Linked DNA regions of Mus musculus. The protein of the gene in region 1 purifies or fractionates together with the protein of each later gene. This does not show direct contact. Links are inferred from orthologs where the notes say so. Each region holds a gene or a part of one and is shown in the gene's direction. Other genes may lie near its edges.

Region 1 (8,212 bases):
CTGGTTTTACACTGCTCATCAGCACCAGAGACAGAGACAGACAGACAGGCAGGCAGGCAGACAGACAGACAGACAGACAGACAGACACACACACACACACACACACACACACACACACACACACGAGAGAGAGAGAGAGAGAGAGAGAGAGAGAGAGAGACAGAGAGACAGAGACTTACTATCTTACTAAGTATCTCTGACTACCCTGGAATTTGCTAGGCCAGGCTAGCTTTGAACTCACAAGAGATCCACATGCCTCTGCCTCTTGAGTACTGGAATTAAAGACGTGCACCACCACGCCTGGCTTGACATTATGTTTGGGTATTGGCTCTCATTATGTATCTGATGATAAAGGTCGTTGTATCCCCAGAGCCTAGATAGCACTTGGCACACACTTGGCAGTTGAGGAATACTTTGGAATAAAAAGATGCTGGGGTGGGGAAGGAGGAAGTTGGGGTGGTGGTGGTAGGGGGTGAGGGGGTGGGACACTGCTGGTCTCTGACCCCCATTCCTTTATCAGTTCTCTTCACTGCTCATTTCACCCTGAACTTGAATCAATGAGGTAATTCATAGTCTTATATGACTTTTCTGTAGAGAGACATTAAAAAAAAAACTATAAGCCAGGTGTGGTGGCGCATGCCTTTAATCCCAGCACTTGGGAGGCAGAGGCAGGTGGATTTCTGAGTTCAAGGCCAGCCTGGTCTACAGAGTGAATTCCAGGACAGCCAGGGCTACACAGAGAAGCCCTGTCTCAGGAAAAAAAAAAAAAAATCTATGCCAAATAAGGCAGTCATGAAACACCAAAGATATCTCACCACCCAAGTCTCACTTGGCAGACCAAAGAGCTCGCTGGAGTTATTGGCAGTATGGTGGGTGATAGGTTACTTATAGGAGTGAGACTGGAGTAGCTTCCCATCAGAAAGTCGCCCACCAGCGTGACTTGTATGCAGACCAAAGAGTCCTGCCACCAGGAGCTGTTTATTGGTGACACAATCTGGGAGAAGTGTTCCGTGTCTTGCAACTTTTTTTCTGAATTTCCTGAGCCTTCTCCACTCTCATCAGGAGGAAATGTTTCGGGGGAAATAGCTATACAAAAGCAAGGAGATTTTTGAAGAGGAGGGACACATGTGATAGGAAATTGGGGTGCTTACACCCTGGTGTTTCCCTGCTAGCTGTATTGCCTTGGCCACCTTGTTTTATTTCTCTATTTTCATATGTTTACAGGAAGAGTGGAGCGGGGCATGGGTCTGCATTCAAATCCTCCAGCAGGAGAATTGAGAGCTTGAGGCCAGTCTATATAACTGCTCAAACTCAGTAACAGAGAAAGGAAGAAAAAAATGGCAAGACAGATGAGGGGCACTCACCTTGCTGTGGCCCCAGTGGCCCAGGTTTTAAGCATTGTTAAAATCACAGCCAGCTGTTAAGACAATCCCTTCCTGCCCTGGCTACCTTAACGAGGACTGTCAGCATGGCCATTTTGAATCTTCTATAAAGTCTTTGAGGAAACCACACAGCTAATGGCTCAGCCAGGATTGTTTCTGTCCTCTCTCTCCTCCCCCAGTGGAGGGTGGAACTTCCCATAGTCCAGTAGCAGGAAGATGTGTTATCACTGATGCCAAAGGGACAATATTATGATTGGTGCAAACACAAGTCTTCATTTGCACGAGTTTGCTGTTTGCTGTGTTTGGTGCAAACACCCTTTGCTGGCTGTAAAGCAGAAAGTTTGGCTCACTTGGGTCAGCTGGGACAAACCTTACTATGCTACCCTCCACAATGTCACATTAGGTCCAGTAACAGGAAGACAGTGGCTAAGAGCCCGCCAACTAGGTCACTAGGAGAGTTCCTGGAAACGCTTCAAAGCTAAAGGCCCAGGTACCGCACTTTCTGGAGCTACAGTTCGTAATAAGTTACCAGGGCCGAGGAATTCCCACTCCTCTCTGATTTATACAAAACCCGCCGGCCTGCTGCTTAGGGCTGCCAAATGCGGAGGGATCAAAAGCTACCAAGCCCCAGCCCAGAGAGCTTATGCGTTGAGCAGGACACAGCCAGCTGGTTGGCAACACTGATACTTAGTGTTACTTTGTATTAATATTAAGTGTCCTTAATAGGGAAAGCCCGAGCTTGTGTTTATGTAGCAAGGCAACAGGACAACACTTCTGCTATATGTAACATCTCAAAGGGAATACCACATGGGGGGAGGGGGATGTCCAGGCTGAATAATGGAACTGAGATTATTCTGCTGCTCTAGTTAGCAAGAATTATGGAAAGGTGCATAACCTCAAACCCCACCATTTATTTAGCACCTAGACAGAATGTAAGCCTCCATCTTTCGATATAATTTTGGGTAAATCCTGCCTATTCTCTGCACGACTGTAATGGGCGTGGTCACGTGTCCCCCTCCCCTCCAGCAGAGGCCCGAGTTAGCCGCTCTCGGGTCACCTTGACTACGAGGCTAAGGACCCCGTGAGAAACGCTTCTCATTCGATCGCGGAGTCCTCCATGCCCACAGAGAGGTGCCCAGGGAGAAGCCTGGCGTGGCAAACAAAACTAAAGTAGAGCCGACCGTCGGAGGGTGTTGCATAAGCGTAGAAGAACAAAATGGAGAGCTCTGCGGGGGAAGACGTGAGTTTCCTGTCGCGCTCTTGCTACTGGCGACCGGAGGAGGCGTCGTCTGAAGCTTCATTTCAAGTGGGCGTTCTGCAAAGCCAGCCGCGGAGCGCGCGCGGCGAAAGCCTGCTTCCGGCTCCTTGCGCGTGCGCCCTGGCGGCCGGGAAGGCGGGAGGCCGGGGCGAGCCTGGAACCGGAAGTGAAGGCAGCTTCCCGCCTCCGTCCCCGTTGCTGCCGCCATACACGCTCGCAGTGCTTAGGTAAGCTTTGGCCCTGTGCACCATCCACCGCCATCTGCTTCTCCCGCGGCTCGCCCCGCCGCGCGGGTCCCTGATACCCGGTGCCGGGCCGGCGCCGTGGCCGCCGGCGCGCAGGCGGGCGTCCAGTTCTGTTGTCTTCACCCCTTTCTGAGAGCAGATCTTGGCGGGGAGCTGGGAGACAAGGGGGGAACGATCCAAAATGGTGGCCTCGGCCGCCATTGTGTCTCCGCGCTTCCTGGGTGTTCCAGTGGGTCCTCTGCCCACCCGGGGCCGCGGCGGCCGGAGGCGGCGCCAGGAGGAGGGCGGGGCCCCTCGCATCTCCCCTCCGGGCCTTTTCTTGCTCGCCCAGGGATGGGAAGATCTCGCTCCGGGGCCCGTCCAGCCCTTTGACCCCGCTTTCGCTGCCTTATTTGGAGCTCTCTGTGAATGGCTGCCTCTGTGCGTGGCCGATGGTGTCGCGCACTTCTGGGGAAGCTTTTCCGAGAGCACTGCAAGGCGTTCCTTTCTAAGGCCACCCGGCTCACACTCTTAATCCTGCATCGTTCTCAGCTGTGACCTTAATTCCTTAGTGCGACTTTTAAAATTAACTTTGGCAGCGCTGAGCCGAACCTTGCGGCCTCTCGCGTTACTAAGCAAGCACTGCCATTGAACTGCACACACCCATCTTTTTCAAAACAAAAAAATTTTTTTTTTCTTGAAATGGAGCCATTCATACACTTCCCACCCTCCGCCCCGCACCACCCTCCTTCCTGCTTCTGTTCCCCGGTCCAGGTGTGCGCCGCTGGGACGGCCACTCGGGGGTTTCTGAGCAAGAGAATAGCGGCAGCCACATGATGTTTGCATTTGGGAAGTGAGCGCTCTGCGCAGTGCTGACCCTTATCTATCACCCTTGACTGATGGCTGACGTTGGGGATCACCACCGTGAGGTGGCAGGAGAAAGCGCAGTCTCTGTCTTCCCTTGTCCTTTGTGTCTCAACCCTCGTGTGAGTCGTTAGTCACGCTCATTTTACTGCGGTCTCCCAGTTGGCTCCTGCCTGTCGAAGTGTGTGTTACAAAGTCTGGTTAGCGGTGGAGCCCACTCTGTCTCTCCCGTCTGGTGTTCCCGTTTCTTATGTCATGAGTCTCTTTGTTAACTCTTCTTTCGGGACAAAGGTTTCACAGTTTAGGGAAGAATAGGACGGGTGTAGGGATCGACGAGAAGTGACGAGTCCATTCGTGACTGATGAGTTTTTCCGGTTTTTTTGTTGTCCCCTCTCCCAGCTCTTCTGTCGGAAACTGGTGTCTTTCCCCTTGCTGTTCTTCAACCCCTCTCTTTGGCCCTTGCTTCCTCACCTGCTCTGGGACACCTAACTCAAGAGACCTCCCTTCTCCCCCTGCCGGCCCAATTATGGCAGAGAACGATGTGGACAATGAGCTCTTGGACTACGAAGACGACGAGGTGGAGACAGCCGCTGGGGCAGATGGGACCGAGGCTCCCGCCAAGAAAGACGTCAAGGGCTCCTACGTCTCCATCCACAGCTCCGGCTTCCGAGATTTTCTACTCAAGCCAGAGCTGCTCCGGGCCATCGTTGACTGTGGCTTTGAGCATCCATCAGAGGGTACATTTTATTGTTGGGTGTAGAGACCTTATTTAGCACCTCTGGTGCAAGAAAAGGGAGGTTCAAGTCTAGGGTCATAGGATTTGAATTTATTTGGGATAGGCCAAGCTCTGAGAATGTACCCAAGACGGCAGCTGTAGAAGAGGCTTTTGTTCTCCGTTAAACAGAGGGCTGCCATTTGTTCTGTGCCTGGCTTTTTTGCTTGGTTTTTGTCTTTCTGACTGTTCGGACTCCCAGAGAGGGCCTGGTTGGACCTTTAGTTCCCTTCTTTTGGGCCAGGCCAAGTGTCGTTTCCGGAAACCTTAACGATCAGGATGCTGGCTTCTGTGGCTTCTGGGTCAGGTACCAAGTCCTTCATTTTGTTCAAGGTTGCAGGGTTACATGACCCAAAAGCACAGCAACCTATGTAGGAGAAATGGCCTGTGGCAGTCGAATTCATAGATTGTTGCGGTGTAAGAAAAGTAAGTTTAGCCAGGAACGTGGAAGGTGAGCTGTTGGTAGCTTCACGAGGGTTCTTTCTTAGCGGAACTGGGGAGCTGGGGTAGGAGGGTTTGACTTGAGTGTAAGAGTGATGAGGGTCAGGGAAAGGATGGGGTCTGAAAGGTGACAAGGTGACATATGATGAGTCGGCTGGGGAGAAAGGGGTTTGGCACGGTGCAAAAATGTCTCTCCTTTCTCCTCCTAGTCCAGCATGAGTGCATCCCGCAGGCCATTCTGGGGATGGATGTCCTGTGCCAGGCCAAGTCAGGCATGGGAAAAACAGCAGTGTTTGTCCTGGCCACACTGCAGCAGCTGGAGCCCGTTACTGGGCAGGTATGTTGGGGGCAGTGCTGGAGAGGGTGTGGAGATTGAATCACCAGGAGGCCGTTTCTGGCTCCATGTGTTCTCAGCTGGTGTCCTCTGCAGTTCAAGGGGAATGTTCGCCAACATCACTGACAAGTTGCTGGATGCTCTTGTGACGAGGGGCTGACTTTACTGTGTCTGTCTCCATTTGCTCCCTCAAAGGTGTCTGTGCTGGTGATGTGTCACACTAGGGAGCTGGCTTTTCAGATCAGCAAGGAATATGAGCGCTTCTCTAAGTACATGCCGAATGTCAAGGTAAGGGGGGAAAGAAACCTGGGACAGGAGGCTGTGGGGAGACAGGCACTGGGAGGGAGGTTGGCTGTCCTCGGGCATCCCTGTGCTGTCAGTGGTGTGGTCACATGAGAGACTTCAGTTAGTGCCACACCCTTCTGTGGCTGCCCTTCCAGGTTCCATACTGTGAATACACCTGTGTGTTCCTGAGAGTTCGTAGCTTTAGGTGATACCACCGCAACACTTTGTGGTTAGTTGGTTTTGGTATTGCAGATTCCATTCCAGAGCCTTGAGCTACTATGTGTGGGACTGAGCCACCCCTGGGTCCTTTGTTTTTATGTTCACGACTGTCTCTTAACCACCACGTTGTCCTGGTAGGCCTTGAACTCACCTTAGTCTAGAGATAGGAGGCCTTGAACCTGAGGCTCCTGCCACAGGTTCCTGAGTAGTTGGGGCAGGCCTTTGCCACCTGGCTTGGCCAGAGCCTCTGTTCTGTTCTCCTGAATTGCTTGGTAGATTGTTTGAGAGTTGGGTTGTATGTGGCAAGAGGAAGCTAGATGCTCTTAAAACAGCCCTGGTGTGGACTTTAACTCTAGAGTGGTTAAAGCTTTCCGGGGGTCATAACAAGTGGCCTGTGTCCTCTGTGAAGGAACGTGGTGTGGCCTCACAGTTGGCATCCTTTGGAACTTTTGAGATTATATATTTCCATGCTTGGGTGAGTGGCCTGCTGGGTTTGAAAGGCCTTGTAAGCTGGCCCTGTGAGTAGAGAGATGTGTGCAGACTTCCTATTCTGGTTAGGGTGGGGAAAGAGCAGCTTGGATCAGTCTGGGCTGACCTTTGAGTCAAATCCACCTTCCTCTGCCTCTACTGGGATTAAAGGCGAGCATCTCCACAACCGCCCAGCATGACAGATTTAAAAGGGGGAATTCTAGAAGAAGAAAAGGAAAGGCAGTATGTGCAAAATGCTAAAGGAGGCCAGAGATCTTGTGATCTCTGAGGTTTCCATTGCTCGGCATAACCAAGCATTAGACATTGTTTTCCTAACCTGTCTGTGTGCAAGCTTACTGGCCTCTGAAACATTTTAGCGTATTTATATATCTTTTTCCTAGGATTTTGAAAATAGTTTGTAATCTGGAGGCATTGTCTATGTCTGTGTGCCTGTGCCTCTGGCTGTATGTCATTATACCTTGCCAAAAAACTAATAGACTTTCAGTTCCTTGGCTGACCGGTCCCTTGTGGTGGATTTAATAGTTGGGAACTGAAGCTGGATCAGTGGCTCATTCCTGTATTCCCATGGCCTGGGAGGTTGAGGTGGGCGTTTGCTGGAGTTGAAGGCTGCCCGGGGCTAAGGTCTCAAAACAAAGAGGGAGGGTGGCAAAGCTGCAGTCCTTCTCTGCAGGACCCACAGCACCCTTGTGCTACTCAAAATGCTCTGAGAGTTGGGATCAAGTCTGAGGTTGGGTTTGGTGTAGGAGCCTGCAGATTAGCTGGTTAGGTCCCCCCCCCCATCATAAAATCAGAATCATCTGTACTTCTCCTTGGCTGTGCAGCACAGTGTCCTCTAGGGGGCTGTCTAGTCCCTCCCTTAGTTTTAGCTCGCTTTTCCCTCAGTATTTGTAACTATGTCTGAAAGCTTAACTGATACCAGTAAACCATCGTGAACAGGAGTGGAGTGCTCCTGTGTGCATGTGTTAGCCATTGTGGTTCAGGATTGAGAAGAGGAAGAGGTTTACTGTAGAGTAAGCGTCCTGGTTATTTCTTTCCCCTTGAAATTGGACAAGTCCACGTGTCACAGCTCACACATCCAGCACTCACCTGGTGTCACAGCTCACACACTCACCTAGTGGGTTGCACATGGTGTGACTTTTATCTCAGGCACCGAGGAAGCAAAGGCTCCAGGCCAGGGAGACTGTCTGACAGTTCAGTTAGGAAAGCTTGCTTGTGGTTTGATCGTTGGGTGGCGCCTCACACTTGCTGGTGGCTTCTTGCTTTCTTCATCTGTGTAAGGAAGCTGTGACTTTGGAGTCACACGTGCCTCGTTGTGTAGATCAGCTAGGGCTGTGCAGAGCGATCCTGTCGTGGAGTTTGAGTGGAGGCGGAGAAGCTGAGTGTTCATCCCTTCCTCCATCCCCCTTGGCCCCCTGGTGCTGAGGGGGTCGCTTTGTTTCTTATGGGAGGCACAGGAGCCACTGCAGGCCTGAAAGCTAAGAGTTGGTTTACAGTCAACCACAGAATGGACACACTGGTATTGGCAAGATGGCCCACTGCCTTTAATCTGTACTTGGTGCCAGACAGGCTGATCTACAAAGTGAGTTCTAGGCCAACCAGGGCTATACAGTGAGGCCTCTCAAACCAAAGGGATGGGGGAGAATTCTGGGAGACTGGAACATTGTCCTTTCTCGTGGTTGACAGGTGGCAGTGTTTTTTGGCGGTCTGTCTATCAAGAAGGACGAAGAGGTGCTGAAGAAGAACTGCCCACACATCGTCGTGGGGACTCCTGGCCGAATTCTAGCCCTGGCTCGAAATAAGAGCCTGAACCTCAAACACATTAAACACTTTATTTTGGACGAGTGTGACAAGATGCTTGAACAGCTCGGTGAGTGGCGGTGCCCAGGCCGCAGCTCAGGTGGTTTGGGGAGCAGCCCTTTGAGCCAAATGATGTATGTTTGACAT
Region 2 (7,737 bases), on another chromosome or scaffold:
GTAGATGTAAGGTTTCTAATCATTGCTTACTAAAAGATGATGTCCGGGTTTCAAGGTGATGGACTTTGCAGATGACCTGTTGCAGGTCAGATGATCCCTGGTCTGAAGGCGATGGACTTTGCAGATGACCAGTTGCAGGTCTTTCTCAGGATTGTGCCCAGCTTTCATCTCAGTAGCGCCAGGTTCGGAACACGTGCACTTTTGTTGCTAATAATTTTATCTTAAATTCTTTGTTTTAAACATGTAGGCACTAGTTCCTCAGCCAAACGGAGTACTTCGGCTGGTAATAAAGAGTCCAGTTCTACTAGAGAAAGATTACGTGAACGCACCCGGCTAAACCAGAGCAAAAAACTGCCCTCTGTAAGTCAGGGAGCTAATGATGTGGCACTGGCTAAACGTTCACGCAGCCGCACTGCTGCAGAGGGTGATATTCGTATGAGCAAGTCTAAGTCGGACAATCAGATCAGTGACAAAGCTGCTTTGGAAGCCAAGGTGAAAGATCTCCTCACACTGGCGAAAACCAAGGATGTGGAAATTTTACATTTGAGAAATGAACTCCGAGACATGCGTGCTCAGCTGGGCATTAGTGAGGACCATTGTGAAGGTGAGGACAGGTCTGAGGTGAAGGAAACTATTATTGCTCACCAGCCTACTGACGTGGAGTCTACTCTCCTGCAGCTGCAGGAGCAGAATACAGCCATCCGCGAGGAGCTCAACCAGCTGAAGAATGAAAACAGAATGCTAAAGGACAGGCTCAATGCTTTGGGCTTTTCCCTAGAGCAAAGGCTGGACAATTCTGAAAAACTATTTGGCTATCAGTCCCTGAGCCCAGAAATCACCCCTGGTAACCAGAGTGACGGAGGAGGAACTCTGACATCTTCGGTAGAAGGTTCTGCTCCTGGGTCGGTGGAAGATCTCCTGAGTCAGGATGAAAATACACTCATGGACCATCAGCACAGTAACTCCATGGACAACCTGGACAGTGAGTGCAGCGAGGTGTACCAGCCCCTCACTTCCAGCGATGATGCTCTGGACGCCCCCTCCTCTTCAGAGTCAGAGGGCGTGCCAAGCATTGAGCGCTCTCGGAAGGGGAGCAGTGGGAATGCCAGTGAGGTGTCCGTCGCTTGCCTGACAGAACGGATTCACCAGATGGAAGAGAACCAGCACAGCACCAGTGAGGAGCTTCAGGCCACTCTACAGGAGCTGGCTGATCTCCAGCAGATTACCCAGGAGCTCAACAGTGAGAACGAAAGGCTGGGAGAGGAGAAGGTCATTCTGATGGAGTCGCTGTGTCAGCAGAGTGATAAGTTGGAACACTTTGGCCGGCAGATTGAGTATTTCCGTTCCCTTCTTGATGAGCATCACATTTCCTATGTCATAGATGAAGACGTAAAGAGCGGGCGCTATATGGAACTAGAGCAGCGCTACATGGATTTGGCTGAGAATGCCCGTTTTGAGCGAGAGCAGCTTCTAGGTGTGCAGCAGCATTTAAGCAACACTTTGAAGATGGCAGAACAAGATAACAAAGAAGCTCAAGAAATGATAGGTGCCCTCAAAGAGCGCAGCCACCACATGGAGCGGATTATTGAGTCTGAGCAGAAGGGCAAAGCGGCCCTGGCAGCCACATTGGAGGAGTACAAAGCTACTGTGGCCAGTGACCAGATAGAGATGAATCGCTTGAAGGCCCAGCTGGAGAACGAAAAGCAGAAGGTGGCTGAGTTGTATTCTATCCATAACTCTGGAGACAAGTCCGATATCCAGGATCTCCTGGAGAGTGTCAGGCTGGACAAGGAAAAGGCGGAGACTTTGGCCAGTAGCCTGCAGGAAGATCTGGCTCATACCCGAAATGATGCCAATCGGTTACAGGACACCATTGCTAAGGTATTGCCCACGTAAACACGTTCTTGTTTAGTTTATACAGCTGCCATGTGGAGAACCTGAAGTGTGACGTTGCCTTTTAAAAAAACTCCTTCTCAAGTTTTAAAACGCACTACCTTACGTGAGTAAGACTTTCCTTACAGTACTGTCATTGTCAGCCGCTCCTCTTCTGTCATCTTCTTTTCAGAGGGGCTGGAGGGGCTGGGAACCATGCAGCCAGACTTCCTTCTGAGCAGTAGATAGCTTTACATCCTCGTCTCTAATGTACTGGGGCATAAGGCAGGTGCTGAGTCAGGATCTCAGTTTTCCAGGATTGGCAATGTCTGCTGCCTTTTGCCCTGGTGTAGTTTTTCAAATAGCATTTTATTGTGAGTTCATTCTACTTTTAGAGTAGAGTTGCTCCTGTTTCTTGGAGGTACAGGATTTATTGCTGGCAAAGAGCTTAGAGATGATTCTTCTAGTCCCTCATCTCACAGATGTTCAGTGTACTTACTAGTAAAGACTCAGTCAGAATGGCTGGCTAGGTTGCTAGTGTTGTTCTATATCCTGAGTGATTTTTGAAGTGAATGTTTTTGTACAAATTATCTATTTTTTCCACCCACCTTTTTAAAATGTGTATGTGTTAATTTATGGTACATGCGTGTGCACCCACAGAGGCACGGAGGATGTTGGATCCCTTGAAGCTGGAGTTGCAGGCTGTTGTTGAGACCCTTGATGTGGATGCTGGGAACTGAACTGGGCTTGTCCAGAAGAGCAGGGGTGCTCTTGACTGCTGAGTATTTCTCTGCCCGAGTGTGGGGAAGTTTTAAAGGGAAAGGTTTTATTACATCAGTTGTTAAACTTTGAATAACTTAACTTATTTTTTATGTATTTTAATGATCCCTTTTTAAAAAAACTTATTTCATGTTTGTTTCAGGTGGGGGAGGGAATATGAAAGCATGTGTATTGGGGGTGCATTAGTCAGGACAACTTGTGGGAGTTGGTTTCTCCTATCATGGGAAACTTCAAGGATAGGACTCAGCTCATTAATTTTGGCAGCCAACGTCTTTACCTCTGGAGCCATCTTGCCAGTCTGTTAGTGATCACTTTTAGAGATGTAATTCAGGAGATACATGTTGAGGGGCACTGTGAACTAGTACTTTGATAAAGACTACTTGAAATGAAAGTGTTCTGTTTGTATGTGCTTATTGTGTCTACGTGTGTGTGTACTATGAATCACGCGAGGAGATTGGAGGATGACTTGGAGGCTGTTCTCTCCTTCCTCCAGGAAGGTTCTGGGAATTGAACTCAGGCCCCCTGGCTTGGCAGCAAGCACCCTTCCCTGCTGAGCCATCTTGTTAGCCTTAAATGTTTTTCTGGTTTCATATTTGATTTCATTTTTTTTCTATTATAAATACTGCACTTTTATAAGTGAGGGTAGCATGCTAATCACTCATCAAATGCACAACTTAAGTCCAAATGTTGGAGAAGAGAAAACGTCCCCCAGGTGGCTCATAGATAACCTGGGGAAGTTCAGTGATGCATCAGTTGACTTTAGTCAGTGAGGCTTTGGGCTTGTGCTCAGACAAACCAAATGCAAACCTCGTGCAGTTGTAGTGCTGGTCCCCAGCGTGGCTAGGTTGTCAGTCAGTCTGTCCGTAGCTGCTCGCACCTCACTTCCATATCTAACGGTAAGTACTTTGGTTGTAGAGTTTATCCCCAAACAAGTCTCCTTTTAACTTCTTTAGGTAGAAGATGAATACCGAGCTTTCCAGGAAGAGGCCAAGAAGCAGATTGAAGATTTGAATATGACATTAGAAAAACTAAGATCAGAGTTGGAGGAAAAGGACACGGAGAGGAGTGACATGAAGGAAACCATCTTTGAACTTGAAGATGAGGTGGAGCAGCACCGCGCCGTGAAGCTGCATGACAACCTCATTATCTCTGATCTAGAGAGTAAGTAAGGCAGTGAGTGAGAGCGACCTCGTGCGCAGGCGCTCAGGCTTTGCCCACCCCACCTCTGCGTGCTGGTGCTCCGTGGTGAAAATAGCAGTTCTGACTAGCACACAGTATGGACACAGTAGCACGCTGACCTACCGAAAGACACTTTGACAGAGGTGTGCTTCACACCTTAGTGAGGAAACTCTGGGTCAACTATGTTGTGTTCTCAGATGTTCCATAGAAGCATTATTTGAACATTGTATCTAATTAATGAGAATCTCTGAAATGAAAAGGCTAACAGTCAGTTATTTTCCAGACCATAAGAAAAGCCATTAATTTATTTTTAGTGATTGCAAGTGAACAGAGTTGGAAAAAATAAAATAAAATAGGTTAATCTTGTAGCATACTGATCATGGAACACAGGTTTTTGTGTTTTTAAATTTATTTGATTTTTCTTATTATTCTGAGAATTTTGTGTCATGGTAGAATGAAACCTGCATTTTAAAGTTTCATTGTACATTGAATGAATTGATTTTTAAACTTTAAAATTTTTTTGTATTTGTAAGAAAGTTGAGCAATCAGATTTTTATATGAACCTAATCTATTTTCTCAAGAATTGTTTATTGATTACAGGACAGAAAAGAAACAGCAACTCCTTATGCAGTAGGGAAAGCTGAGCAGTGTTTGGGTTTTCATGTGGGTCATAGAGGCATGCGGTACTGGGCATAGCACAAGTGAGGGCTGCTCTGACTCAGGCACGTGCCAGCCACAGGGAAACAGACCGACAGCATGAGCATGCGCTGGTAGCAGAGGTGTGGAGGGGCTGCAGCCCTAAAGACATCAGTGTTGCAAAAGAGAAAGGCTATAGAAAGGTCCCAGATAAAAGAAGACTCAGGAGACAAGATAATTAGATGTAATGCCCATGTCTAGACAGGCCCATTACTACAGGGGAAAATGATATAAAGGCATTAATCAAACACCGAGTTGTGGCTAAGAGATTAAAGATATGCTAATAATACATTTAGGAAGTTGATAATTACACTATGTTTACATAAAATATCACTGTTCTTAGAAACCACACACTGAGTTTTTCAGGTGAAGGGCTGTGATTACTATACCCCCAAGGAGTTCTGGGAAGAAATTAGGCTGATGGGTAGATATAGAAACGAGCTATGACAGCTGATAGGACAAGTGAGTTGTATTCCTGCTGCCTTTTGTGCGATGCTGGAGATGAAGCTCAGGACCTTGTCCATGTAAATTTCACATTCTTACCACTGAACTACATCCTCACTTTTATATGCCTTTATATTACAGACCTAGAGATAGATTGATTGGAGTAGGCATGTCTGATGCATTAAAGTTTTTCAGACAATGGGTGTATGCAACACTCCTTCCGACACTCTCAGTTCATCATTTCTTGACAAAGCAATTATCATATTGGGCCTATCACTAGGCTGATGGGGACATTGAAGATACTTGAAGAAGAGCAGGTCAGGTGCGGGAAATGTTCAGGATAGAACTTGGGAATTCTAAGTTCTGGTTAGCTGATTGTGAATCTGGATTGACCAAGGTTTTGTTGAACATTCTGGGGCCCCTATTAAAATAGTCAGTGGTGGGACTGAATTTTTTTTTAAAGAAGATGGTGTTGTTGTGACTGCCATGAAATTTCTCATCCACAACTTAATCCTTCAGGGTGGTCTTAGTGTCTCATCTGTGGTCCAATGCTTAATTGACAGAGTTCTAAGCTGTCTTCAGCCGCTATAATAAGGTCTTGTTTCAGAGTCAAAAACCAAACAATAAGAACTTTCAGCACTTATATTTAGAGTTTTAAAAAATATATAACATTTTAAATTTTTACACACACACACACACACACACACACACACACACACACACACACACACATCTGTATGTGGACTAGATGTTCAAGAAGCCCAGAGGAGGGTGTCAGAGCCCCTGGGAGCTGGAGATTAGGTGGTTGTGAGCAGTCTGACATGGGTGCTGGGGACCAAGCTAGGTTCTTCTGGAAGAACAGCAAGCAATCTGAACTGCGGAGCCATCTCTCTGACCCTGGATTTAGTATACATTTTTTATTTGTGAGAATTTATTTAATTCTGCTTTTTTATTATACATTTTAAAGTATTTATTAGCACATATTAATTTTGCATGACAGTGTTTCGCTTAGACACTTTGATATGCAGGTATATTTTGACCATGATCACATTACCCTGTTGTCTACCTCCTGCTTCTCCCTTCCTCTTCTCAGCTAGTGTGTGCACTTGTGAGTTCTGCTAGGGTTACTTACAGGAATGTGGGTGGATTTTTTTTTTTTTAATTTGGGCTATTTATAGGCATATAGTTGAGTCACCTGTAGTTATCCTACTGATGAGAACACCTCTTCCCCCAACCAGTAGTACTTTATAAAGCTTCAAAGAGGGGCGGGGTAATTTTTCTTCTTGCCTGTAAGAAGTGTTTAAGTTTTCCAGACAATTCCAGAGTGACTTTGGAAGCTCCTTGTACTGTCCGTTGGGTACACTGGTACTGCCCTGTTTCCCATGCAGTTAGTCCTTGTGGTTTTGCTCATGGGCAGGAGTGACATCTTGTGGTAACTGGAGCATTAGCTAGGAAGATGTTAAATGATGAAGATCTTGGGGACAGAACATCACAAGTCATTCATTTTTCACATATGGATTTTAACTAGAAAATGACAAAAAACCAAGAGTAATTAAAAAAATTTATATAGCTTCTTTTACAATTTTTTAAGATGAAAAGTTCAAATGTACATTAGTATTAGAAGAATAATTATTACCTAGTGCTATTGTCTTTGTATGTATATGTTGAACTACTTAATACTAACCCTATGATGTTTAATTCTTAAATATTTAAATGTGATTCCTAAAAGAAGATTTTACTGAGCACTTCTAGCAAAATTATTCTTAGTTTTCTAGTATCAACTAATAGTTCATAATTAGATTTCTCTAGCTGTCATCAAAATGTTTCTTTATAGCACTGTTTACTCCCAGGTTTTAGTAACTCCTTTTTTATAGTCCTTCAGACTGATCCAGGACCTCATGCTAAGCAAGCTTTCTCCTAGCCTTAGATATTCATCTATTTGGGTTTTTATTTATCTTAGACCAGCTTTAAACTCATGACCCTTGTGCCTCTTAGTTTCTACAGTTATAAGATAATAAGTGTATACTATACCTCTCTCTCTTAAATAATAACCAGTGTCTAAACAAATTTTATACTTTATGTTAGATCTCTAGTGTTATATTGCAGTTACTTTTTCTCTGGAATTTGATGGCAGTTAATTTTTTTTTCTAGAAAATTCTCACATTTGGAGTTAACCCAGCAAATGATACATGAATTTTTGTTGTTTGAGAAAGCAAGATTTCTTCTGTGGAATATTTTAACAAGCTTAGAACCTCCTAGTCAGCTCCCAAAAAGGCCTTATAATTTCAATAGTAGTCGCTCCTCAGTCACCCCAAGATAAATTCCTGACCTTGGAATTGGTATGTAGGACTTTACAACCACTCCTGAGCTCAAGTATGTGGAGGAGAAGACAGATTGAAGGGACAAGTGGGAAACTGCAGAGAAATAAAAACTACAAAGCAGAACAAGTGTAAACGCCTTAGCATTTAAGGTAGAAAGGTGCCATGTAAACTCAGAACTTCGGTTCAGAACACGGCTTCAGACCCCCACGCCCTTCCTTTCCGTAAAAGAAGACTAGGGATGAAGTGTGAAGCCTCAGTGGTGCTAATGCTGAGAGTGCGAGTGGATGAGTAATTCTGAGTAACTTGTGAAGTGTAGAAAGCATAGTCAGAGGTGGGGGGAGTAAATCAGAACAGAAAAGCCTGCTGTCCAGGAGAACAGTGAGGCTCAGAGGAATGATGTTCCCAGCAGGCTCTGCGTGGAAGGGATCATGTTACCAGAACTGCC
Region 3 (7,737 bases), on another chromosome or scaffold:
AAAGTACCTGCAATTCCAGGTGCACCTAATGCTTCAGGCCCTTGCGGGCTGTATTCATGTGTACATCACCATACACAGAATCAAAAATAAAATATTTAGAGCATTAGTTTTATGCACAAACTGTTGTGAAGGTTTAGATAAACAGGAAAACGCCATAGTTCTAGTCAGAAATGAACTAGCTAAGTAGTCTCCTTGCATGTTTTCCCCTAGTTGATGAAACTTGTGTTTTATGTGCACAGAAGACTAATGTAGTCCACTGAGTTTTGGGGTTTGTTTTGTTTTGTTTTATGCTTATTTAGGAGGAAAAATTGGCCTGGAACTTTACATTTGTAGAACAGACATCCTTTCTAGGGATAGTTGAAGCAGCCATTAGTACAGTGTTTTCCATTTCTGAAATAAGTTCTCACATGCTTTGACTTTCCTTAATGTGAACAGTCTGCAGTTGGACTTTTACTTCAAATTTTTAGCAATTTTCATTTTTTTTTAACTTATTGTAGCTCACAAAAATTTCTTGATATTTTCTGAACCTTTCATGGACTAATCTTCATGTGATTTATAATTTGGTGGCTAGAGCCTAGTCTAAGAACCATTCTATTGTCTGATGTTACTCAGTGGCAGATTACTGTTCTAGCCTAATCCCCAGTACGACACCACCACCCTTCGCACACACACACACACACACACACACATTCTGTTCTAACCCTTAAAAGGAGTGGCTACCATTGGGGAAAGTCCTATCCTGCTTAGTATGTATTTCTTTAGTCAGCTCTTAGAAGAATCATGGATTGAGGAATGTGTCACTGTGTATAAATGAATTCCTGATGGAAACTGTTGTTTTTTGTGCTGTACCTTTTGTCTGTGGAATATAACAGGACATGTATCAGGTAATTGCCCCACACAGGTCTTACCCTTACCTGCCTGTCTATAACATCTCTGTCAGTCTATAAGTAGGACTCTATCTAGCTTTGTCTTTGTAATGGTAAAAGCAATGGGCAATTTAAAGATGTCTTTTCTTTAAATTATTTGGTGTGTTTAATTCATGGCCATTATCACAGTGTTCTTTGTAGATTTAATTATAATAGATTGTTAGAGGCTAGGTGTTTTGGTATTATTAGAGCTTGGTATTGGGGAGGGCTAGGAAATAAATCAGTAGTTTGAAACAAATGTGAGCATTTGTGCCACCAATGTGAGAATGTTACTAAATCAGCTGCCGAATTCAGCTGAAATGTCTTTTATTAGTGAAAGTCCCCATGTAGTGATTTTTTTTTAACTGAAATGTCTTTTATTAGTGAAAGTCCCCATGTAGTGATTTTTTAAAACCTGTGTACTGCTACTGGTGGCTCACAAATCTTAATTTGTTAATTTCTTTATTAAAGATGTGCATGGGAAGGGCTTGGTGTTTTGTGTGTGAATCTAAGCTGTACTTTAGTAAAATGTACTGAAATGGGGAGAAGGACATGCAGCCTTGGGGTCATTTGTTTCTTTTAACAGAAGAGCTACATTTATGTAAGCCTCTCCCATCAACACAGAAAGGAGGCTCATATTTTAATTCACGCAATGGGGAAATTGAAGTTTCTTTTTTATTTTTTTTCCCCGTTTCAGGAGGCAAAACTAACAGATCAGTTGCCACTTATCATTGTCTGTGATCGGTTTGACTTTGTCCATGACCTGGTGCTGTATTTATATAGAAACAATCTTCAGAAGTATATAGAGATATATGTCCAGAAGGTAAGTACTTTGGTTTTTAGATAATTTAAATATTATCACTACAGCATTTTGAGTTCTTCTCATTGTGCCTGGTAAGAATGGTCTGCTAGAGTAGCTTTCCATGGTTTTCCTCAGCTCAGTCTTTTCTTTTATTACAATTTTACATCCATGCCAGAATGTGAAGTGTGAGAGAGAGCTACTGTAGTCTAAAGGGTTGGAAAGTCTAGGAACCAAAGCCCAAAGCACATGGCTTAAATTAGGTACTAGAGACTTACCAACTTCAGGATACTCTAGTGATGCTTTTGTGCTTAGTAATCTTCCATAGTCATCTTTGCTGTTGTTATTTTTATACTTCAGCATTTGGAGCGATCCTTAGGTAGAACTGATTAACCATAGCAGCTAACCATAGACCACAGGGTGAGTGCTCCCTGCTTATTAGAATGTGAGGTCTTTCTAGCTAGACTTTTCCATCATCTGACCATAATTTTAGATTCATAGTTTATTGCTAATTTTTCTTTAAAACAAGGCTTTAAAAAGAAGTGGTCTTTAAAGTTTTTCATTCAGTTTTGCTTATTAATGTAATTCTTTTTATTTTCTCTTTTTCAAACATAGGTAAATCCAAGTCGACTTCCTGTGGTTATTGGAGGATTGCTGGATGTTGACTGCTCTGAAGATGTCATTAAAAATTTGATTCTTGTTGTGAGAGGTCAATTCTCTACTGATGAGCTTGTTGCTGAAGTCGAGAAAAGAAACAGGTGTAGCACTGTTTTCTCTCCTTATAACACACAAGTTTGTCACTCCTGGTAGTGTAGAAGAGTTGAAATACGGCTGACTGACTTGAGTGTGGCTTCTCAGCACATGGGGTAAATCATGGAGGCAGCTGACAGAAGGGTGACACACTTGCTCTTAGAGTTGAAAGGTTTTTGTTTCTGTCATTTTCTCCTGAAATGTGATTGTATTTGTATAGTTAGGAGAAGACTGTGCTGTTTTTAACACAGTATGTCTGGGCTCTGTTGTTCTTACTAGATTGAAGCTGCTTCTTCCTTGGCTTGAGGCCAGAATTCATGAGGGCTGTGAGGAGCCTGCTACTCACAATGCACTTGCCAAAATATACATTGACAGTAACAACAACCCAGAGAGATTTCTTCGTGAAAACCCTTATTATGACAGTCGTGTTGTTGGGAAGTACTGTGAGAAGAGAGACCCCCATCTGGCTTGTGTTGCTTATGAACGTGGCCAGTGTGACCTGGAGCTCATCAATGTGAGTACTGAGTGTGCTGAGTGTGTGCAGAGATACCTGTAGTTCTCTAACTAGTTGTATTTCCAGTTAGCAAATTTTGAGATTCTATATGATTTTTTTTAGTTAATGTGCAACAGTTGTGGGCAGATGTGTGCTTTTTAAAACTTTATTTGGAAATAGTAGTAAACCTAAGTCTATATACACTCTCTCCTGAATTGACATGTATTAGCTTTGCTTGGGTTCTTGTACACGGCCTGCCACACAAAGCATTTTAACTAGGTTACATACCTCATGGATTTGCATCCATTCCGGTTCTACTTTGTAAGAATGAAGAAGTATCTTTATGTGGGTACTAGCAACAGTCAGACATTAGCAAGATACTTTAAAAAGCTTGTTTTCAGTTTTGTCAGGGTTTTCTGTAGTTTAGGATCACAATTGTGTCCACTCTTTAGCCTCTTTATTCTAAATTAGTTCTTAGAAATTTGTTTTTGTTTGTTTATTTTGTTTTTAAATGATTGATACCTTTGGTAAACTAATTTTTTATTTGTATTTTGTTAGTTTTTTTGTTTTTTTGTTTTTTGTTTTGGTTTGTTTGTTTTGGTGAAATAGGTGCATAACCAAATTTTCCATTGTAAAGTGAACATCTAAGTGGCTTTCAGTGAGTTCAGTGTTGCAAAATCACCACTCTTATCCAGGCGCTCAGCACTGAGCAAGGATACCTTCTTTTTCAGTAAATCTCCATACACTCCCTTCCCATAGAACCTCACAACTGCTTAACCACACCCAGCCCCAATGGATTTCCCTGTTCTGTAATTTTTTAATTAAAGTATTTATTACTTGTGCACAAGTATGTAGAAGTCAGAGGATAACTTGTAGGAATCCATTATCTCCTCAGTAGATATGGGTCTAATGAACTGATCTCTGGTCATCAGCCTTGGTGACAAGTGACCTTACCTACGAAGCCATTTTGCTGGCTCCTGAACATTTGATGTAAATGTATGATCTCCATTTCCTCCTTTTCTGCAGTGTTGAGACTGCATGTGCTGGGAGAGTACTGTATAAGTGAGCTCCCTGCCTGGCCACAGGAAAACAGTCCTCAGTTTCCCTCTGTCACTTTGCTTTGTAGCTAGAATCAAGCGTTTCAATAAGGGTTTTCTATAATTAGGTTTTCAGGTCTAATTTCTACTCAGAGCGCTGTTTAAATGGTATTTGCCCCGTGCTGTTGGATTTAGAAGCTTATTTTCTTTCTTTATGTCGCCAGCCTCCACTGAATTGTCCACCTTCCCTTCAGGAGTCCTCATAAACAGATGGTGCACATGTTCTTCCTCCTTGTCTATCCTTGGCCTTTGTAACATAAGGCATTCTTACTAGGCTGATGACTACTTCATCCCTTTCTCCTTTTATCAGTTATGGGTTAGAGCTCAAGGGTAGAAAACTGGGCCACCATGAGTGAGGTCCTGCTTACAAATCCCAGTGCTGAAAACAAATTCTGTCATATTTATTAGTCAGTATTCTTGGATTCATAGATTCCTGTTGTGCTCTTTGAATTACAATCCATTACTGTAATTTCTGTTGGCATGCAAATTGTTGCCTGATTGCTTTGAGGCACTTCAAGGCTCATTGTGCAACTTTCCTAGCTTAGAGTTGCTCTTTTTTTTCAGGCAACCCCCAACCTTTTAATGAAAGATGCCATTAGTAACCAAGTTCTATCTTGAAGGTTCCTTCTAGAATTGTTCAGTGGTCAGACCTTAGAAACTTATGTATGTATGTATGTATGTATGTATGTATGTATGTATGTATGTATGTACTTTCAAAGATTATGCATATTTACATGCAGATATATGGAGAAGTAAGTGTGCACTAGCTAATAAAACACTGGAAGAAAGTTTTGAAGGCGACCAGATCTGTATTGGATTGTAATACAAAGCTATAATTTAAGGTTAATACAAAACTAATGCTTTAACATCAAAAATAAGCTAAATATGCTAGTGTGTGTCTGTATTTCTAGCATGTGAGAAGTAAAGGCAGGTAGGTATAGGACTTTAGAGCTCAGGTACGTGAGACCACAATCTCAAACAAGAAAAATAAAGATGCAGTAGTGGGGGTCTTTTTAAAAGTGCCTAAATTTTCCCCCATCCTTTAGTTTCAGTGAGAATATTTGTGATATTCCCAAGATTCTATATAGAATAGATTTTTTTTTAAAAGAGTTGATATGATTACAAATAACTTTCAGACTCGTCTGTAGTTTTTACTATTTGCACTGAAATTAACCTTTGCTATTTTAATTAGGTTTGCAATGAGAATTCCCTCTTCAAAAGCCTTTCTCGCTACTTAGTCCGTCGAAAGGATCCAGAATTGTGGGGTAGTGTGCTACTGGAAAGCAATCCATACAGAAGACCGTTAATTGACCAGGTAAGAATCACAAAAATGTTTCCAATCATTCTTACTTGGAATACTTTCCTATCATATATCCAAATATATTTAAATGGGTCATATTTAACTATAACAGAAGGCAGAAAAAGTGAAAAAAAAACATTAAAATTGTACTATATAAATGTAAAATCATGTATATGTGTAAAATATTATAAGGAAAGTGAAGTCTAAAAACATAAAATTATCTTAAGTTCATCACCACTAAAGAAAGGGAATAAATTAGGATTGACTAAAAGTAGTTACCTGACACATGACCAAAATCAAGACATTTACAAAGGTACATCAGCACACAATGAGGATTGATAATTCAAAAACAAAAAAATCCAAGTAATTTTGGGGTATGACAGCTTATGCCTGAAGTCCCTAGTACTTAGGAGTTTGAGAGAGGAAGAATATGAGTTTGAGTTCACCTTGTCCTATGACTGTAGCAAGATTCTATCTCAAATTCTTTTCTAAAAGTCCAAGTAAGCATCATGGAGATTGTTAAGTTCTGGTCCCTAGCATCACATAAAAGCCCCTGTATGTAACTGCAGTGCTGGGTAGACAGAGACGGGAAGATCTCTCGGGCTGTCAGCTGTCCAACCAGATGAATGAGCTCCAGCTGCAGGGAGAGGCTTGTCTCAGAAGTAAAGTAGCACGTGACTGGGCAGGACACCTGGATCACCTTTGGATACATGCACCTGTACATTCATGCACACAAACACAGGAATAGCACACTCGATACCCAAATCAGTAGTAAGTCTTAACTAAATAGCACAGCACTGGAGTGAAGATTTTTATACCTATATGAAATTGAAATCTTGAATTTAAAGTGCTAATTGTTGCTTGTTGTTAAAATGATTCTTAAATTCTTCTGATAGACAAAAAGATAGAGCATTTTGAGGCATAGATTACTAGCTCTTGAGTTATTCACTCACTCTCTAGAAAGTGGTTCCAAGGCACATTCCCAAGTAGATACAAAGCTCCCTGCAATCACATGGCATCTGAGCACATGAAAGTAGACAAAACAAGAGCTGTTCAATTTCTTATCTGTGCCTAGGGATTTGAAAATAAGAATCCATTAAAGAAATAGTGATACGTTATTATGGATAGTGTTTTAACAGGGGAAAGTGAAAATTGCATAATCACTAATGGTAACATCATATATAAACGTGTTCATGTATATTTGTGTACAAAGATCTTTGAGTAGAAGGGTATTTTTCCTTCTATTTGAGGTTTTCTAATGAAAAGCTAACTAACTTGTTCTTACCAGGCAATATCTTTTTAAAAATACCTTTTTTTTTTTTAAACTATTCCATGTATATCCTTTGTAGGTTGTACAGACAGCCTTGTCTGAAACTCAGGACCCAGAAGAAGTGTCAGTAACTGTGAAGGCTTTTATGACAGCAGATCTTCCTAATGAGCTCATTGAACTGCTGGAGAAAATCGTTCTTGATAACTCCGTATTCAGTGAGCACAGGTATGCTATGCTGCCAGGGGCTTGCATTGGCTTCCTCAGCCTCTCTTTGTGGCCTGTTGGTTTGGGGAAGGAAGAGAAAACAAAGAGAACAGATAGTTTTCTGGATTGTTCTCCTAATACACGCTCTTCTCACCCTGACCCTTGAGACAAATAACCCTCTAGTGTCACAGTGGTGTTTCCTCACCATTGATGACTCTTTGATGACATTGTGCTTGAATGTCTTGGTTTCTTAAGGAATCTGCAAAATCTCCTCATCCTCACTGCAATTAAGGCTGACCGAACACGTGTTATGGAGTATATTAACCGCCTGGATAATTATGATGCTCCAGATATTGCCAACATTGCCATCAGCAATGAGCTGTTTGAAGAGGCATTTGCTATTTTCCGGAAGTTTGATGTCAATACTTCAGCAGTGCAGGTAAATCTTGAAATTACATGAATTGAGATATTGACAATAATGTCTTCTCTTGATGCAAAGAATGCGTTTTCTTGTGAGAGTATGCACAGATTGCTATCACAGTAGAGTAATCATAAAATGCTATCCGTTTAAATGTAACTATGTTGGGTGAGATCCATTTTACAGTAACACCAATTCAAAAATATTGCCCAGGTGTTGATTGAACATATTGGAAACCTGGATCGTGCATATGAGTTTGCTGAACGCTGCAATGAGCCTGCTGTTTGGAGTCAACTTGCAAAAGCTCAGTTGCAGAAAGGAATGGTGAAGGAAGCCATTGATTCTTACATCAAAGCAGATGATCCTTCATCTTACATGGAAGTTGTCCAGGCTGCCAATGCCAGCGGTAAGACTTCTTGTCTTTATGTCCTGAGACCTCCAAAAAATCACTAAGCCAAGCATTAAGGTGTTTAAGTTTTAATTGTATAGAGGTCAGACACT
Region 4 (7,221 bases), about 10 Mb from region 1:
GGTTGGATACTTTCCCAGACTAAAGAAGTTTGAGCTGGATATTAAAATGTGTGTCTATAATGGTCCTTAGTAGTAATTCTTTCATTCTTAGATGCCTGAGGAAGTGCACCATGGAGAGGAGGAGGTGGAGACCTTTGCCTTTCAGGCAGAAATTGCCCAGCTCATGTCCCTCATCATCAACACTTTCTATTCAAACAAGGAGATTTTCCTCCGCGAGTTGATCTCTAATGCTTCAGATGTGAGTATTCTGTTGTTGAATTTCTAAGGCTTCACGGAAGTGTGTGTGTGTGTGGGAGTGATTGAGAAGAACAGTTCAGTTGATGTTGAAGGGGGAGGGACTGTTTGGAAAAATAAAATAATCTGGCTTTTTGCGTTTACTACAGGCCCTGGACAAGATTCGATATGAGAGCCTGACGGACCCTTCTAAGTTGGACAGTGGGAAAGAGCTGAAAATTGACATCATCCCCAACCCTCAGGAGCGCACGCTGACTTTGGTGGACACAGGCATTGGCATGACCAAGGCTGACCTCATTAATAACCTGGGAACCATTGCTAAGTCTGGCACGAAGGCGTTCATGGAGGCTCTCCAGGTGTGTGGCCTTTCATCCACACCGTCCTCTAATTTGTTACTGCTTAAGTTAAAATTTGTCTGTCTAGGGTATTACATATTAGGACACTTATTAGAAAAAAAGTACAAGTGGTTGGTCAGGACAGCTTTGACCCCTAGATCTCTGGACATTGAACTGATTGTTACCTTGCGCAGCAGATGGTTATACTTGGCCAAGAACCATGTTGCTGATCCTCTTTACTTCAAACCCTTTGCAGGCTGGTGCAGACATCTCCATGATCGGGCAGTTTGGTGTCGGATTCTACTCGGCCTATCTAGTTGCAGAGAAAGTGGTTGTGATCACGAAGCACAATGATGATGAGCAGTATGCCTGGGAGTCGTCTGCGGGTGGCTCCTTCACCGTCCGGGCAGACCATGGTGAGGCAGCAGGCTACATTGTGGGGAAACCTTAGACGTTGTATTCTATAAAAGTACATTTTAAGGGGTGGTGAGTGCCAGCACTTGGGTGAGTTCTTAAGGCAAGCAAAGGGGCTACACAGGAATCTTAGCTTGCTTGAGAAACCAGGAACGAAAAAAGCGTAGTTCGTTCTTGTATTTTAGTTTCAGTTTTTCATGTCTTGATTTGTTCTCTGTAGGTGAGCCCATTGGCCGGGGTACCAAAGTGATCCTTCACCTCAAAGAAGACCAGACAGAGTACTTGGAGGAGAGGAGGGTCAAGGAAGTGGTGAAGAAACATTCGCAGTTCATAGGCTATCCCATCACCCTCTATGTGAGTATGGGCTTGGCAGTGTTGGAGCAGGCTAATGGCACTGGGCCTTGCTGGTGCTACATTCTCCACAATTAATTACATGTGTCATTGGTGATTTAGTTGGAGAAGGAACGGGAGAAGGAGATCAGTGATGATGAGGCAGAGGAAGAGAAAGGTGAGAAAGAGGAGGAAGATAAGGAGGATGAGGAGAAGCCTAAGATTGAAGATGTGGGATCCGATGAGGAAGATGACAGCGGCAAAGACAAGAAAAAGAAAACAAAGAAGATCAAAGAGAAGTACATTGACCAGGAGGAGCTGAACAAGACAAAGCCTATCTGGACCAGAAACCCGGATGACATCACGCAGGAGGAGTATGGCGAATTCTATAAGAGCCTCACCAATGACTGGGAGGACCACTTGGCAGTCAAGGTGAGAAGCCTTCCTCTGTTGTGTAAGGCAGGGTAGGTAGGCAGAAGCTGGAGGTGGTAAGGAATAACTGGCTCGACTGGTTGGTAGCTGGGACCTGAAAGCCACAGAAAAGAACCATGTGACAACACTGGAGCTACTCAGAGCTAACAGTGGTTTCACATTCTCTTTCTGGTGGGAATCAGGGTGTCAGCCATATCTGACACTGGATTACTCTTCTCAATCACTCCCACTGTCATGGCCACCACCCTGATTACAGCCAGGGTTCTGCTTGGCGGGATAATTCTTGCTACCAGCATGCTGGGTTTATTTGTGATTAGGGCTGCTTTCCTATTCATAGGGTTCAGCAGTACAGCATTCACAGTGCTGTCAGATGTTTGATATTGGGGCTTGAAGCAGTCCTGTCCTAAAATGTATTATTGGGTTCATTTCAGCACTTCTCTGTAGAAGGTCAGTTGGAATTCAGGGCATTGCTCTTCATTCCCCGGCGGGCTCCCTTCGACCTTTTTGAGAACAAGAAGAAGAAGAACAACATCAAATTGTATGTCCGCCGTGTGTTCATCATGGACAGCTGTGACGAGCTGATACCTGAGTACCTCAACTTTATCCGCGGTGTGGTTGACTCCGAGGACCTGCCCCTGAACATCTCCCGGGAGATGCTGCAGCAGAGCAAGATCCTGAAGGTCATCCGCAAGAACATCGTCAAGAAGTGCCTGGAGCTCTTCTCCGAGCTGGCTGAGGACAAGGAGAACTACAAGAAGTTCTATGAGGCCTTCTCCAAAAATTTAAAGGTAAGACGGACAAGTGTTCTCCAAATAACTTTGTATTTAGGGTGTTTTTTCCAGCTCATATAATTGGATTTTTCTTTTAAAGCTTGGAATTCATGAAGATTCCACTAACCGACGCCGCCTCTCTGAGCTCCTTCGCTATCACACCTCTCAGTCTGGAGATGAGATGACCTCCTTGTCAGAGTATGTGTCTCGCATGAAGGAGACCCAGAAGTCCATCTACTATATCACTGGTATGTCGGAGATTGGGTCTGAGTAAAGCTGTCTTGTGGACTTGGGAAAGGGGGAAGTGGTGGTGTGGAGGCCATGTGGTGGCCATGTGGCCATTGTTGTATTAATCCTGTAGGTGAGAGCAAAGAGCAAGTGGCCAACTCTGCCTTTGTGGAGCGAGTGCGGAAGCGGGGCTTCGAGGTGGTGTATATGACTGAGCCTATTGACGAGTACTGCGTGCAGCAGCTCAAGGAGTTTGATGGGAAGAGCCTGGTCTCAGTGACTAAGGAGGGCCTGGAGCTACCAGAGGACGAGGAAGAGAAGAAGAAAATGGAGGAGAGCAAGGCAAAGTTTGAGAATCTCTGCAAGCTCATGAAGGAGATCTTGGACAAGAAGGTTGAAAAGGTGAGTCTCCCCTAGCTCCAAATATTTTAGTCTGCTGTACAGCTAGAAATGTCAGGCAGCACAGACCAGGCACACACAGACTAAACAGTAATTATTCCATCTAATGTATGTATGCAAGGAAAGGGCCTTCCTGTGTTGCCCAGGTTATCCTTGAATCCCTGTACTCAAGCAACCTTCAGTCTCCAGAGCATGTAAGGGGGTTAGTCCTCTGCCTGCCATCTTAGTAAGGTTCTTCATACATAGCAGTTCCATTATGGCCAAGGTACATCTTGTCATTGTTCTTGATTGTCCACAGGTGACAATCTCCAATAGGCTTGTGTCTTCACCCTGCTGCATTGTGACAAGCACCTATGGCTGGACAGCCAACATGGAACGGATCATGAAGGCCCAGGCACTGCGAGACAACTCTACAATGGGCTACATGATGGCCAAAAAACACCTGGAGATCAACCCTGACCACCCCATCGTGGAGACCCTGCGGCAGAAGGCTGAGGCAGACAAAAACGACAAAGCTGTCAAGGACCTGGTGGTGCTGCTGTTTGAAACTGCTCTGCTCTCCTCTGGTTTCTCACTTGAGGATCCCCAAACCCACTCCAACCGCATCTACCGCATGATTAAACTAGGCCTGGGTGAGTCTGGCTTGTGAGCTCCTGGTAGCAAGTTGTTGTACTAGCTGGACCTTTGGGCAGACTTAGTGCTTTGTGGCTTACTTAAATCTGTGTCTTTCTCTTAGGCATCGATGAAGATGAGGTCACTGCAGAGGAGCCCAGTGCTGCTGTTCCTGATGAGATCCCCCCTCTGGAAGGCGATGAGGATGCCTCGCGCATGGAAGAGGTGGATTAAAGCCTCCTGGAAGAAGCCCTGCCCTCTGTATAGTATCCCCGTGGCTCCCCCAGCAGCCCTGACCCACCTGGCTCTCTGCTCATGTCTACAAGAATCTTCTATCCTGTCCTGTGCCTTAAGGCAGGAAGATCCCCTCCCACAGAATAGCAGGGTTGGGTGTTATGTATTGTGGTTTTTTTGTTTGTTTTATTTTGTTCTAAAATTAAAAGTATGCAAAATAAAGAAGATGCAGTTTTATACAGTCCTGCTCTCCTTGTAACACTCAGGGCTTCCTGAGTGGTGTTGGAAGGTGATGAAAGGCAGTTACTTGTCCATCAACTATTAATGCCAACCAAAACACAGGTCCAAAGTCACTGCTGCAGTTTAATCAAATAAGAGCAAAAGGTGACATTTCCAAGTACCAAAACTTGGGTAGGAACACTGGGGCCCCAACTGGGCTGGGGGCCTTTGTCCCTTCTGGCACAGCACCATTCTCACTGGCCCCTAGGGGAACTGCATGACCTGTAAACAATTCTCTTCCCAGCTGGTGCCTGGTAGCCTCAAGGGTGCGTGCTATGAGCAAAGCCCTGGTGCTGGTTTGCTTGGCCACCAGCAAGATTTCAGAGATTGGGGGAGGAGCTCTGGGTCACCTCTAACCAAACACCCACAGCTGTCATTTCCATGAAGTGGGGGCTCTTAAGGCAAAAGAGGCTGCCTCCAGGGCTCCAATCCTCTGCTGTATGCTGATACTGAGCCAGTGCCTCAGAAGATGAGGGTCTTTACTGCACTGCTCACACCTTCTGTACTGGGGGCTCAGTGGGCACAGCCTTCTTTCCCCGCTGCTTCCGGCCCCGGGCATAGACTCTGAGTAGGAGGGCAGTGAAGACCACAGCTACTCCCAGTCCCCCCACCACAGTGACAGTATGGCCATAGAGGAGGCAGGAGAGGAGGATGGCAATAGCCTGGCGTAGAGTCATGATGATAGTGAAGACAGCAGCTCCAAATTGTCCAATGGTGTAGAAGATGAAGAGCTGCCCAAAGGCGGAGCAGATGGAGAGGAGGAGAGCATGGAGCGCAAACTCACTGTGCCGCCCCATGAAGCGTGCCCCCTCCAGTAGGGCCCCCTGTTCCAGTAGTGAGCCTACTGTGAAAAGACAGGAGAATAAATTGACCCCAAACATCATCTGCACCGATGACATCTTATAGGCAAACAGGGCATCCTGCCAATTTGAGGTGAAGCTGTCGAAAGCAATATAGCCTGCCAGTAGGACCAAGCCAGAGAGTGTGGTGGCTGGAGAGCTTCTAGGCTCTGGTCCACTGGATAGAAGAAACATGCTCACTCCAATGGAGATGAGGCCGGCAGTCAGGTATTCCCAGTGTTCATAGCTGCGCCGGGACACCAGCTTTCCCATCATCATGACAGGGATCACCTTGGAGGCCTTCGCCAGCACCTGGGTAGGGAAGCTGACGAACTTAAGTGCTTCATACTGGCACCAGCTGCTAAGCACATTTGACAGACTGGCAAAGGAGTACCGGTACATGGGTGCACCATGACGGGGCTGCTTGCGCAGGACACAGTAGAGGCCTGCCACAACCAGCGCCAGCACACGGTTCATCAGCACCAGAAACTGGGAGTCTGTGAAATGCTCTCCTGGTGATGTGGCTGTGGCCCCGTAGCTGCCAGTCATCACTCTTTCCTGCAGTATGCCCCAAGTCAGATAGGACACCTGGAAGAGGGAGGGCAGAGAAGAGCGACAGTATAGAAGGAAAGGCAGAAGTCTGTTTCCTACTTCCTCAGAGTTGGTAGCATCAGATGTAACTGACACCATACTTTTGGTTCCTCTGAGGGAGGGGCCTTCTTTCCCAAGCTTTAGCTCATTTTATGGGGGAATCAAATGGAGTTGCAGACACCATGACATCTGCTTTAAGACCAAACACTGTCCTCTTTCATGATGCAAATCCATTAGAGCTGGCTCCACATACCATATAAAGAGTTTTATTTAGTTTGAACTAACTCAAAAAGAAACTGGGATGTTTGGAAGCTGGGGGTGGGGGTGGCTGGACACTTCAATTCAACATATATCTAAGGTGAGTTGGCTCCCACTCTGAATGCCCTGTGATAGCCTCACTCAAAGAAATCCTACTGACAAAATTTTGGAGAAAGCCAAGCATGGTGGTACACGCTGTCACCCCAGCTATTTGGAAGGAAGAAGCAGGAGGGTTGAAAGTTCAAGGCTTGCATTGGGTGGTGGTGGCACATGCCTTTAACCCACTCTGTCCAGCACTCTGGAGGCAGAGGCGTTTGGATTTGAGGCCAGCCTGGTATTGAGAGCAAGTTTCAGGACAGCCAGAGCCACTCAGAGAAACTGTGTCTGGAAAAACAGCGAAGAAAAAAAAGAAAGTTCAAGGCCTGTCTGAGCCTGTGAAACTCTGTCAAAACAGTGTGGTGGGTCATCAATCCTAGCACTTGTAGAGCAGGGGGATCTCTAAGCTGGAGACCAACCTGGTCTATATAGTGAGTTCTGGAGTAATTAGGGCTGCAGAGTGAGACCTTGTCTCAAAATAATAATGTGGGAAGCAGCTCTGGAGATATGTTTAGCCAGCAATTCCTCAAATTCACACTCAGATACAACATACAGACAGAGCAGAATATGGGCATAGGGAAAAAAAATACAACTCAGGCAGGCCTTCTTCCACACTGTAGAAGCCATTGCATGGGTGCGCGCGCGCGCGCGTGGACGTGCGCATGAACACATGCGTGTGTACAGTGAACTTTCATTTCAATACAGGTGTTGAAGGAAGCGCTGGAAGTTCACTTTCAGGACTGGGCTGTGTCCTGTAGGGACACAAACCAGACCCAAACTAACAAACCTTTGGGGTGGGCAGGGAAAATTTGGTTTAAGTCAGGGGCTGTCTGTACCCAGCTGGGGAAGAGAAGGGGAGCCTGTATTCTTACCTGGAGACCCGAGGCACAGAAGACCAGCTTCAGGACCTGCCAAGACGGGGTGGATTCCGCTGTCTCTGTCCGCGGAGCCAGGAGAACCTCATCAGGAGCCTTGGGCTCATTGCCAAACACACAGGCTTTCACCAGGGGGAAGCAGAGACCCCTGCCTGAAGAAGACACAGTCAAGGTCCACAACCTCTGCAGAGCAGCCAGCCCGATCCGGTGTCTGACTTACTGGCCTCCCTCCCGGCCCAAGTCCCGCTCTGCCAACACCTGCAACCAGACTTCCCTCATCTCCCCACCCTCTGGC

Evidence for each region.
Region 2: the proteins of Ddx39b (region 1) and Specc1l purify together in Homo sapiens (affinity purification with mass spectrometry, with the first as the bait; 3 studies listed by BioGRID). This does not show direct contact. The link is inferred for Mus musculus from reciprocal best matches to the Homo sapiens genes DDX39B and SPECC1L.
Region 3: the proteins of Ddx39b (region 1) and Cltc purify together in Homo sapiens (affinity purification with mass spectrometry, with the first as the bait; 3 studies listed by BioGRID). This does not show direct contact. The link is inferred for Mus musculus from reciprocal best matches to the Homo sapiens genes DDX39B and CLTC.
Region 4: the proteins of Ddx39b (region 1) and Hsp90ab1 purify together in Homo sapiens (affinity purification with mass spectrometry, with the first as the bait; 3 studies listed by BioGRID). This does not show direct contact. The link is inferred for Mus musculus from reciprocal best matches to the Homo sapiens genes DDX39B and HSP90AB1.

What each region holds. Positions count from the first base shown.
Region 1 is NC_000083.6:35,238,986-35,247,197, forward strand, and holds the start of Ddx39b (spliceosome RNA helicase Ddx39b), read left to right. Parts: upstream 1-2,760; 5' UTR 2,761-2,867; intron 2,868-3,692; exon of another isoform or gene 3,693-3,769; intron 3,770-3,831; exon of another isoform or gene 3,832-3,850; intron 3,851-4,127; 5' UTR 4,128-4,254; coding exon 4,255-4,465; intron 4,466-5,089; exon of another isoform or gene 5,090-5,150; coding exon 5,151-5,278; intron 5,279-5,470; coding exon 5,471-5,563; intron 5,564-7,951; coding exon 7,952-8,135; intron 8,136-8,189; exon of another isoform or gene 8,190-8,212. UniProt on the Homo sapiens protein: Involved in nuclear export of spliced and unspliced mRNA. Component of the TREX complex which is thought to couple mRNA transcription, processing and nuclear export, and specifically associates with spliced mRNA and not with unspliced pre-mRNA.
Region 2 is NC_000076.6:75,244,832-75,252,568, forward strand, and holds part of Specc1l (cytospin-A), read left to right. Parts: intron 1-247; coding exon 248-1,881; intron 1,882-3,605; coding exon 3,606-3,813; intron 3,814-7,737. UniProt on the Homo sapiens protein: Involved in cytokinesis and spindle organization. May play a role in actin cytoskeleton organization and microtubule stabilization and hence required for proper cell adhesion and migration.
Region 3 is NC_000077.6:86,706,572-86,714,308, reverse strand, and holds part of Cltc (clathrin heavy chain 1), read left to right. Parts: intron 1-1,602; coding exon 1,603-1,728; intron 1,729-2,319; coding exon 2,320-2,462; intron 2,463-2,733; coding exon 2,734-2,968; intron 2,969-5,236; coding exon 5,237-5,359; intron 5,360-6,693; coding exon 6,694-6,839; intron 6,840-7,073; coding exon 7,074-7,257; intron 7,258-7,449; coding exon 7,450-7,642; intron 7,643-7,737. UniProt on the Homo sapiens protein: Clathrin is the major protein of the polyhedral coat of coated pits and vesicles. Two different adapter protein complexes link the clathrin lattice either to the plasma membrane or to the trans-Golgi network.
Region 4 is NC_000083.6:45,564,782-45,572,002, reverse strand, and holds the end of Hsp90ab1 (heat shock protein HSP 90-beta), read left to right. Parts: intron 1-91; coding exon 92-238; intron 239-383; coding exon 384-590; intron 591-825; coding exon 826-985; intron 986-1,203; coding exon 1,204-1,337; intron 1,338-1,436; coding exon 1,437-1,745; intron 1,746-2,176; coding exon 2,177-2,533; intron 2,534-2,615; coding exon 2,616-2,763; intron 2,764-2,876; coding exon 2,877-3,145; intron 3,146-3,440; coding exon 3,441-3,774; intron 3,775-3,878; coding exon 3,879-3,988; 3' UTR 3,989-4,225; downstream 4,226-7,221. Other genes in the region: Slc35b2 (adenosine 3'-phospho 5'-phosphosulfate transporter 1 precursor), read right to left, coding at 4,759-5,694, 6,924-7,078. UniProt on the Homo sapiens protein: Molecular chaperone that promotes the maturation, structural maintenance and proper regulation of specific target proteins involved for instance in cell cycle control and signal transduction. Undergoes a functional cycle linked to its ATPase activity.